Mus musculus: one gene and its partners. The protein of the gene in region 3 purifies or fractionates together with the protein of the main gene of each other region. This does not show direct contact. Links are inferred from orthologs where the notes say so. Each region holds a gene or a part of one and is shown on either strand. Other genes may lie near its edges.

Evidence for each region.
Region 1: the proteins of Med7 (region 3) and Cdk8 purify together in Homo sapiens (affinity purification with mass spectrometry; 7 studies listed by BioGRID and IntAct, counting the BioPlex papers as one, with this or other methods). This does not show direct contact. The link is inferred for Mus musculus from reciprocal best matches to the Homo sapiens genes MED7 and CDK8.
Region 2: the proteins of Med7 (region 3) and Med9 purify together in Homo sapiens (affinity purification with mass spectrometry; 5 studies listed by BioGRID and IntAct, counting the BioPlex papers as one, with this or other methods). This does not show direct contact. The link is inferred for Mus musculus from reciprocal best matches to the Homo sapiens genes MED7 and MED9.

What each region holds. Positions count from the first base shown.
Region 1 is NC_000071.6:146,283,234-146,286,886, reverse strand, and holds part of Cdk8 (cyclin-dependent kinase 8), read right to left. Parts: intron 3,259-3,653; coding exon 3,201-3,258; intron 780-3,200; coding exon 648-779; intron 1-647.
Region 2 is NC_000077.6:59,946,984-59,950,736, reverse strand, and holds the start of Med9 (mediator of RNA polymerase II transcription subunit 9), read right to left. Parts: upstream 2,524-3,753; 5' UTR 2,471-2,523; coding exon 2,259-2,470; intron 1-2,258.
Region 3 is NC_000077.6:46,439,881-46,443,294, reverse strand, and holds the end of Med7 (mediator of RNA polymerase II transcription subunit 7), read right to left. Parts: 5' UTR 3,320-3,414; intron 2,733-3,319; 5' UTR 2,716-2,732; coding exon 2,014-2,715; 3' UTR 574-2,013; downstream 1-573. UniProt on the Homo sapiens protein: Component of the Mediator complex, a coactivator involved in the regulated transcription of nearly all RNA polymerase II-dependent genes.

The DNA of each region.
Region 1 (3,653 bases), on a different chromosome or scaffold from region 3:
TACCTGTCACAGGAGAAGCGGCTGCCAGCCTCTAGGTCATCAACATAAAAGGAGAGGATTACAGTAAGGGTCACCTTATTAATGTGAGGCAGAAGAGATGTCAATCATGGGGAAGTTGCAGAAAAGGCTTCGGGTGAGAGCTTCATTTGCTGCACCATGTGAGTGAGTGAGCTACCGACAACCTGAATGGCAGCCACCAGAGGACCTGAGAAAGAGCGGCCCGCACTGTGACGTCACTAACACAGCTGACAACGGGACGTGAGGAAGCAGGAGTGCCTTGCTCCTAACTTTGAATAAGTCTTAACTGCTCAAGTTTACATGTTTTCTCTCTTTAGTTTCTGAGATATTGCCTAGACGTTAGCATTTCTTTGGTGACAGAAAGAACGTTTGTATAAAGTCGTAGAACTGAAAATTTTTAGTTTTCTCTTTTCATATAAAACTAATTTTTTTTAACTGAAAACATTCTGAACCTCTTTTGTAAAGAGACGTGCAATTTCATGTTATCAGGTACTAATGTGTATATATGGATAGTGAATTCTGGGGTTTTGTTTTTATAATTTTCTAATTCTTGATTTAAACATGTACAAAAATGTCTCTTTCACAGAAAAATATTTTAAAGCCCTGTAATTTTAACTAGTCCTACTCACCAATTGCTTTGGTATAATGTCGCGCTCCGAGGAGTAATTCTGGAGCTCGGTACCAGAATGTTACAACCACTGGATCCAAATCTGCTAAAGGCTTCAAAGGTGAATTAAATAATCGGGCAAAGCCCATGTCAGCTGTGAAAACAACAACAAAACCACATCAGTCAACAGTTTACTTTGCATATGCAGTCTCATTTACCAGTGTTGTCATCAAGAACGTGTGCAGAGCCGGCCGGCCGGGGTAGGAGGATAAAGTTCCGCACTTTGACGGACTGAAATGTAGAAGCACCGGAGATCAGCTCCTCAGCTCTCCCCGGGCAGGGCAGACCTGGTTCAGAGGCACAGCCTGACACTGAGCTGTGCTTCACCTCTCAGTACTCAGTACTCTCCGCTGTGCATCAGCAGGCCTGCTCACAGTGGTCATCAGGGTGACTACAGAGAACTTGAATACTATTCCCTCACTTACTTGGCCGGAGTTTCACTAACTTAAAAGAATCGTTGTACTTTTTAAGTTGAAAGGCGATTTATTTCACTTCTGTGCTTCTTCACATGAGACTGAAGTCCAAAAACAGCAACAACAACAACAAAACCCACAAAACTAGGTCTCCAAGATGGCACTGGAGAGTTCTTGGCACCAGTACCACGCCATCAAACTACTTGGTTACGAACTTTGTACTGCTAATCCATAGTCTTAGAGGCTTCATCTCTGTACGGCTTCACACGCAGTCACTGCACACAAATACAGGATGACCCACGTTTACCACCCACTGGGAGATGTCAAGATTCAAGACCATCTGGAAAATTTAATTCTAACATTATGTTAATTTATTATATACACAATGTTTTGCCTGCATGTATGCCTGCACAGAAAAGGGCACAAGGTTCCATTACAGATGGTTGTGAGCCACCACATGGTTGCTGGGAATTGAACTCAGGACCTCTAGAAGAGCAGCCAGTGCTCTTAACCTCTAAGCCATATTGTAACCTCCAGTATATATTCTTCATATTTTTAATGAAGTAGATTTACCTTTAACTGACTTAATTATGGAGGAAAAAACCCACAAATTTTGGCAAAAAAATAAAAACCTTAAATCAGATTATCAAATATTTCCTTTGAAATGTGAATAGCTGATGAAGTGGTGCCACCCAGCACTCCACCATCACGTACTACTACACAAAAGTGCAATTCTAAGGGAGAACTTAAATGTGCTATGCAGAATTTTTCTAAACCAGATGGTAAAGGACATACAAAAAACTGTTCTGTGACTCGGCCTAGGCCAATCTGTATTCCCAGGACTAACATTTGAATCTGACAGTGTGACATCAGATGGAAGAGATGCCTTCAGAGGCTCACGTAAGGCCACAAGCATTTGGTGGCCCCAGGATTATCAGGGTCAGACATCAATGGCAGACTGTAGTTCAGATTACAACATGGATCACATGTTCTCACAACTAAGAATCTGCAAAGTTTGTATCATAAAAAAACACTTAGCTTATTTAAAAGTGGACCATGAGCTTTGGGGGGACTCATAAAGGAGGGTGGGGGAGAGGTGGAGAAGAGCCAAGTTTTACTGGCTGGTGAGCAGGCATATAGCTACAGGAGCTTCTACTTCAGCAGTTCTCACTCAACCTGTGGGTTGCAACCCCTTTTGAGGTTGAAAAACCCTTTCACAGAACCTAAGACAATTGGAAAACACAAATATTTACACTACAATTCACAATAGTATCAAAAATAATTTCATGGTTGGAGGGCCCCACAACATGAGGAACTGTGTTAAAAAGAGTCTCAGCAACAGGAAGGCTGGGAACCAGTGCTCTACTTTATGTCAAACATTGCAAGAGAAACTACTGTTAATTGTGTTCTGTGCTCTTATGACTCTGTATCTTAATTACACTAATTTATAACTTAATTACATGTCTTCTACCCCTATACCAAACAAACTAAATATAAGTAACAAACACTGCTTAGGAAAACGACAATGGAAGCAGCAGCAGTTAGGGTAAATTTTGCTGTCCTGTCACACTGTGACCTTAGAGAAGTCTGACACAGAGGACAGCACAGAGCATCAAGGTGCACTGCCATGAAGGCCGTTGCCCTTAGGCAAGGCCAGGGACAGCCCTGCATACGGAGAGCTGTACACACTGCGACTAAGGACTCAGGCCTTGCTCAGCTCCTCAGCTGGACAAATGAGAGCAGTGCTTCTTCTCATTGACCTGGCTACAGAGACTGATGGGAGAATCAAATCGGCCACGTGCTTCTAAGAGGAGACAAGGCTGGCCTCAGAGGAGGAAAGAAGCCACCAGCTCCAAGAGCTGTTTAACCAAGGCAGATGGTTGGAGGAGGCCTGCCTGTGTGCTTATTTTCTAACTACAGCAGTTTGTTCTCTAAGGACTGTCTGAGACAGGGGGAAGGTGTTCCCTTTTATGTACTTTTAGAATGTTTTGACATTCGGAACTACAGATATACACACATACTGATACAGAAAACAGTAATATAGCTGCCTACAGCAATTTCAAAACTATACTGAACTGTGACTTATCATAGATATAACATACCAATTTTTACTCTTCCTCGCTCAGGACCTTCACCCATAACTAAAATATTAGCAGGTTTCTGTGGAAACAAAAAAAATTTTTTTCAATAGACAGTAGTAGTTTTCCTTTAAATAGACAAATATGTTAATATAACATATATCTACTTAAAAAATACTTTTCCTCAAAAATTAAACACAGGAAGCCACAGAAGAAACTGCATGTATATACAAGCAAAGCCACACACAGGCCTCATCACAGATAGCTGAGGCCCTTAATCGATAGGTCTTTATTGTGGAGCATTAGAAACTTACAGTGCCAATGTCCCCCCTTTTCTCTCTCTTGAGACAGGGTCTCATGATACAGCCTGATTGTCCTGGAACTCACTACGTAGACCGCAGCAGCCTTGAATTCCCAGATCTGCTGCTGGTCTCCGTCTTCTACTACTCATTCTGTAGTTCTGGTTGGCCTAGAACT
Region 2 (3,753 bases), about 14 Mb from region 3:
ACGTGAGAACCAAGGTTTTGCAGTCATTTGAAAAGCGGCAGATGAGCGCTGTGCTATCCCACTTTTATGTCAACTTAACACAGAGTCAGCAGAGAGGAAGGAAACTCAGTTGGAAAAATGCTCCCACAGAAGCATGCTGTAGGCGAGCCTGAAGAGCATCCTAACTAGTGATTACAGTGAGGAGGCCCCACCCACTGTGGGGAGTCACCCTGGGCTGGTGGTCTTACTAGAGTAAGAAAGCACGCTGAAGTTGGGCAGTGGTGGCTCATGACATTAATCCCAGTACGTAGGGGTGTAGACGCAAGCAGATTTCTGAATTTGAGGCCAACCTGGCTTAAAAATAGTTCCAGAACAGCCAGGAATACAAGGAGAAACAAACACAATAAAAAAGGAAGAGAGAGCGCACTGAGCAAGAAAGCACTCCTCCATGGCCTCTACATCAGCCTCTGCCTGCAGGTTGCTGCCGACTTCCTCCAGTGAGGAAAAGTGATACAGAAGTGTAAGTCAGATAAACCCTTTCCTCCACAGTTTGCTTTTGGTCAGTGTTTCAGCACAGCAGTAGCAGTCCTAAGACAAACACCAAACCACCAGAGCAAGAAACCCAGACTGCCTCAGCTCCAGCAAGAGGGCTTGCCAATGTTCCTAAATGTGACCGGAACTGTAATCTTGTCTTAATTTACTTTTAGTATCTAATGGTTTAGAAGAAATTCAGAGGTTTGCACCTAGTGTCCTGTGGCTATACAGGTATGTGCTAAATAACCTGATTAATGCCAGATCATATATTCAGTAACTGTCTAATGCTTATAATGTAACCAAAACCTTCCTTTGCCTAATGACAAAGTAGTTGTGGTAATGTTGCAGCAGAATGCGCCACTCACAAGAGTGTGAAAAAAAAAAAAGTATACTGCCTGATGGATAAAAAGTATTACCTATACAATTACAGGTAGTTCTTAATGCTTGATAATGATAATAAATAATGATGTCACTAGTTTATGGATGTATTATACTGTAGCGCTTCGCCTTGTTGCCTAGAGACAGGGTCTCATATTAAATAGGAAGTTAACAGTGTCAGCCAGGCAGCCTGGCCAGAGCTCTTGAGATCTGTCTGTAGCGCTGGGACGCTGGGGCTCCAGGCACGAGCAGCCATGACTGGCTTTTTATGTGGACGCTGAGGATTGGAACTCAGATCCTTGTGCCGTTTGTACCGCGAGTGCTCTTACCCACCAACCTGTCCAACTCCCAGTGTTGCTAAGAATCCTGACTGCACAAAGAGGCACCAGGCAGTAACTGTTCCGCGTCACCTAAGTTTATCAAAGCACACTTGAGAATGCTTGCACCAAAAAGTGTACCTCTTGGAAATGACCCAAGCGTATATGGAGTGAGCAAAAACATAGGCCATCATGGAGACTGGAGACTTTGGGCCTAAAAGACCATACATCCTTGTATATTCTATTAGAATTATTAGAATAAAGTTAATAGTGGGACACAATCATTCAGAGCAACTTCTGTGTCTTCGTTTCAAATGTTTCCTAGCATCACTTCTCCCCTCTCCACTTGTTTGTTTGGAGACAGGGTTTCTCTGGATAGCCCTGGCTGTCCTGGAACTCACTCTGTAAACCAGGCTGGCCTCGAACTCAGAAATCCGCCTGCCTCTGCCTCCCAAGTGCTGGGATTAAAGGTGTGCGCCATCTCTCCACTTTTAAGAATGTTTGTTTGTTTTTCTTTGCTTGTAACCGTTAAGCCCTGTAAGGGTAAATGGCTGCTCCTTTCTTTACGGTGTACAACCCTAGTACCTAACAGAGCCCACACAGGTAAGATGCCTCGCATTGAAATGGGTACTAAACTGTGTACACGGTGAGAATCTCGAGTCTGAACGTCTGAGGTCCACCAAAATTCGAACACTTTTCGGGGCTCATATAATGCCACAAGTGAGAAATTCCGCTCTGGGCTTCATGCGAACAGTCAAAACGCAGGCGAATTAAAACAACTGTATAAAATTGCCTTCGGGCTATGTGTAAGGACTTAAGACCCATCCCCAAGTCACTGCAGGATCTGGGATGGGACACTGCAGAACCTATCTATGCATTTGATCAGTACGTGGGCTTCACCCGGGAGTAAAGTGTAACTCTTAAGGCGCCTGACAACGTGGGCCCTCTGGGAAAATGGGGCGTGGTCCAGAGCCCACGGGCTTTGGCAGCTCGGAACCAGGGACACTAGAGTCGCAAAAAGTGGTGTCTTAACCTTTCCTAGACCCTTACCATTTGATGACATTGTGAACCAACGGCAAAAAGGAGTAATTCTCCTCCTTCGCGCCAGCGGGGGACTGAGGCCGCGGAGCCGCCGGCGGCGGGAGCGCAGCGACCGGCAGAGGCTGAGGCGGTGGTGGCGGCTTGGACTCCGGCAGCAGCTCGGGCGGTGGCTGTAGCGTATCTTCGGCCTGTCTCCCACCCGCCACCCCAGAGGAAGCCATAGCACCAGGAGTCCAGCAGCTGCCGAGGGGCGCTGGGTGCTTGCGTCACAACTGCGCGCCCGGGGAGGCCGGGCGGGAAAAAACTCTGAGTCTGCGCCCTGGGCGTAGGCGGGCGGGCGTTGCTAGGCGACGGGTGTCGGGAAAGCTAAATTGAGTAGTCAGGATTAGGGAATCTACTCCAGTCATCTTTCTAGTTCACATGACAGAGAGAGGTCAAAACACCAACGAGGACCCCCGGGACTGGCAGGAAGAACGGATGACGCTGGTGAGCACCGTGTGAAACTGAGGCTCTGCGGCAGCGAGCATCCAGATGACAAGGACTTACACGTCTTTGTGTCATGCTAGCCTCCAGGAGGGCCCCAGACTGGCGACAGCAAAACAGGCCATACAAACTAGTTCCACACGGCTGCCAAGGGGAAAACTAATCGTTCTTCAAGCATTTGGTATGCATCTAGCAGGTGCCAGACTACATACGTATATAAGACTAAGATCTTGGACCAAATAGGAGAACTTTACGATAGGCTTGTATTTATTCATTTCAAGCAAATGGGCTCCATTAAAAATTTTCTGGACAAGGGTAGCAGTAATTCTGATTCTGACTAACAAAAATCAGGGATTAGGGAAGCTGTCAACTGGGAGAGGACATCTGTCTTTGATGACAGGAACCATGTCAGTAAAGAGAGGCCAGGAGCCCACATCTCAGAAACAAAAAGAAGCAGGAACGTGGAACTTCACAATGGTGTTTTCAGGTTTTTTAGCTACAGGTCTCAGAATTGTTTTCTTCAGAGCTGCAGATAGTTCTCTAAACAGAGGCACTGTCAGGAAAAGAATAATCTCAGTGTTGCTCAAAAGAAGACAGAAACAAAGTGAAACAAGGTGATTTATTTATTTCTTGAAAATGAGTGCACCAGAACTCAAGATAAGATAGCAGAAACACTCAACAAAATGGCCACTTTCTTCCATCTCAGGCTTAGGTGCATTTCATCCCATTAGTGGGAACACAACTTCTCAATATGACTCAATGGGCTAATCACCCAAAGGGAAAGGTGGGTGGGGGGAGTGGAGTTAGGGAATACAGGCCCCTGTGGAACTAAGTGTCTGATTAGAAGAACATTTCTCACTGCAGGAAACTGTAGGATTTCCTTCTAACCCAGGACCTCTCCACCTTAGGGGAAGGGCCATGATTCCTGAGGAAGAAGGGAGAAGAGAATGGTCTAAGATGGAACCAGGTGTGCCAGAAAAGACTTGAAGACACCTCTGGAGACATCTGGGAGAATGCATGG
Region 3 (3,414 bases):
TTAAAATTGTAATGCTCAATGTCAATGGTTTGCTAAAGTTAAAACTCAGTGGAGTATACTTGCATAGAAACATCACACGGAGCCCCATAATTGTTCCCAGTTACTTCCAAATGAAAAGTAAAACCAGAAGCTGAGTGTGGTGACACCTGCCTAGAACTCCAACACTGCAGCTAAGGTAGCAGGATTTGGATTGAGGCCAGATTGGTCTATATAGTTTCATGCCAGCCAGGGCTACAAATGCCAAAAATAAGTAAAACTTTTAACAAGTGGTAAGAATATTAGCTGTTATCTCTTTCAATCCTTAAAACAATTCTACGGAGATTTTGCTGTTTTTATTTCTGTAGTGTATTCACTGTAACTCTCAAGAGTCCATTCTTTCCTTCAACCATGAATTCTAAGCTAGCACCCTTACCTACTGCCCCTCCATTAGTATCTCAGTGATGTTTCAGGATTTAAACCATGTAGGCCATCAGCCAAATCTACTCCGTGATCTGATTTTCAACTCCCAAGAGTGTAGAAATTTACATTTAGGTGGCCCAAAAACTCAAAATATCTCACAAAATTCCTGGATAATTGAGTTTCAATTTTCAGCGTCCATATTTTATTCCAATTGTTCATATATGAGAGTTGGATTAGAGCAGTGCTTTCATTTACCTATTGTCTATGACTGCTGTCAAGCCATAGATGAGTATTATGAAAGAGAAATTGTATACCTTTCAATGCCTATTAAATGGCTGTACAGTAAGTTTACCACCAGATGAAGATGACAAGGAACCAAAAAAGGGAGAAGGGGGCAAAACAAGAAAAATCTTTGCCGATTTCTTATCCCACATAGACTCTTGCCCAACCAAACCATAAATGTGAAGTTTTAATTCTTATGAGTCTTAGTTAGGAACATTACCTACTAAGAAGGGTTTTTAGGTAGAATTACAAGCACCATCTTAAGATATGGAAGTCTTAACCAACAAACCCTGCCTCCTGAGTATGTTTAAAGAGAAGTCATTCTTCCAATCAACAAATGTATCCTCTTGAGTCTAGTGTCATGAGGTATTTACTAGGGTGGATTTCAAGATTAGAAAACTGGAGTAGCTCTAGTTATGATTTCCAGTATGACAGACTAGAGGATAGAGAATGAAGTTCAGTACTTTGGCTATGAAACTGAATACCTACTTTCTAACTTGATTCTGCCACTTATTAGTTGGTTAAGTCAACTTCTCTGAACCTCTACTTCCTCATCTGTAATGACTAAAGACGGATTGAGTTGTGGGTAGCTTTGTGATTAGAACTGTGCTACCAACATATACATGTGTTTGAAAAGGATATAAACTGGACAAGGTGTTCTGATTAGATTACTTTGGAAGCAAGACTCTTCTGAGGGTGGTATGATGGCTAAGAGACTAGGATAGTCTTAGCAAACACAAACCAGAAAAGAAGCTATGTTGAGACTGAATAGCTACTCAATAGAGTTATCTTTTGGGGGAAGCCTGTATCCATCTGTGAAGGTGAAGTATGTACATTTCTCATAGAATTGGATCATAACCACATCATTACCTGACTGGGGCAAAAAAAGAGTCCCTAACAAATATTCTATGGAGAATAAGGAGGAGAAAAGCTGTGATACTGAGTTTGCTGGAACAGTAATCAGAAAAATAAACTTTCTATATTATTTTGGAATAAATCTAAACATTTTATAATTTCACATGTACACTTGATGCCCTTTATTAGTCTCGAAGCAAATAACTTTTTTTCCAAGAATGACAATTCGTTATTACTTCAAGTTTTTATTCCAACTCCAAAAAATAGGACTATCTCAAACAATAGCAAACATTCAGCTTTTTTATGGCAATTACTCAAATATACTTGCTGGCCTATGTTTAGTGTTAAATTACCACCTACAGCATTTCAATTGAAAAAAAGTCTCTTAGTATCTTTAGTTATACCTCTTAAGACTGTCTGAGAGGAAATAAACTAATATATGATGCTACTTACTAAAAGGAAAAAAAGGAATATTCTTCATGGCCTTTCATTCATTTCATCAATTAGCACACATAAGGCAGCATCTTTTTCTATAATCTGGTCCCTTCTGTGACCTGAACTTTCTCTTTGTTGTTCATTCTGTCCAGGACAATTGCTGTTATCATCAGTATCCATCGGCTCAGCTTTAACTCTCATCCCTGCTTCTGAATGGGGCAAATCATCGGGCAAAGAAGCCAAGCAATTCTGAATCATTTCAATGACTCGTTCCAGATGTTTCTGAAACCTCTCAGCTGTTTCAAGGCGCTGGCGTTTCTGGACCTCCATCATGACTCTCAAAGTCTCTCTTGCTTGGTGGGGTCGATATTCATTTATAAGATGATGTACATGTACAAAAAGTAGCTTAAGATCTTCTAGCTTTTCTTCTCGTTTTATACTCCCAGGACTTCTTATTAAGATGTCTAAAAGGTCTAAGAAATTAATCAGTATAGACATATTGAGTTTTCTCAGCTCTTTCTTATGATCAAATTGCATAGGATGAAGCCGTTCAATGCCCTGACTTTCTAAAGGGCGAATGATAAGATCATCACATTGGAACTGGTTGCCAAACATCATGTAGCTGTCTTTAATTGGAGGAGGAGGCTTGGGAGCCAAGCCTTCCTGAATATTTTCATCTGTATATTCCTTGATGTACTGCATTGGAGGCGGTGGAAGTGCACTCACTTGCTGTGGTTCACCCATTGTAGACAATCAAGAACCTAAAGAAACAGAGCACGATTCAGAACAGAATCATGAACACCACCTTCCTCCTGCTGCCCCCAATTAGTGACTTCAGAATATGTTCTTCCTTTTTCTGACAGTACACAGTCCAAGACAAGATGATCTTAGATTTTAAAATTAACATTTACAGCAGTGAATAGCTATCAATTATGTTCTAATTAAATATTATGTTAACATCCATGTATTTTCCTTTATTTCCTCAGGGTTTTCAACAGTAGTTAATAAAACAAAAGCTACATCTTTTTCCTCTATAGAGAATGTCTGAGGGAAATGGAAGCTGGGACAGCCCACATTAGCTCTCTATCTACTGGGGCTTGCGGGAAAAATCTTCAGATATAGGCCACATTTCAGTGGAAGACAGGCACCCACAATACCAGTAATGACAAAAACAAAACAATCCTTCCAGAGCACGGAAGACTTGTCAATTTCTCAAAAACAGACCGGGCAAAGTATACTGGGGGGGGGGGGGGGAGAAGAGCAGGGCAGGGTGTGAGGGAGGGAGAGGGTCTTGTGACATTTGTTACTGTGTCATGAAACTTCACTGATGAGAGAAAAAAGTACCAACCTAAGACCAGAGCAGCCTGATCAACACAACTACGATGTTCAGAAGTTCACTGTGGGTTCAGACCATATTATCTTCAAGTTTCCTGATAGGAAATA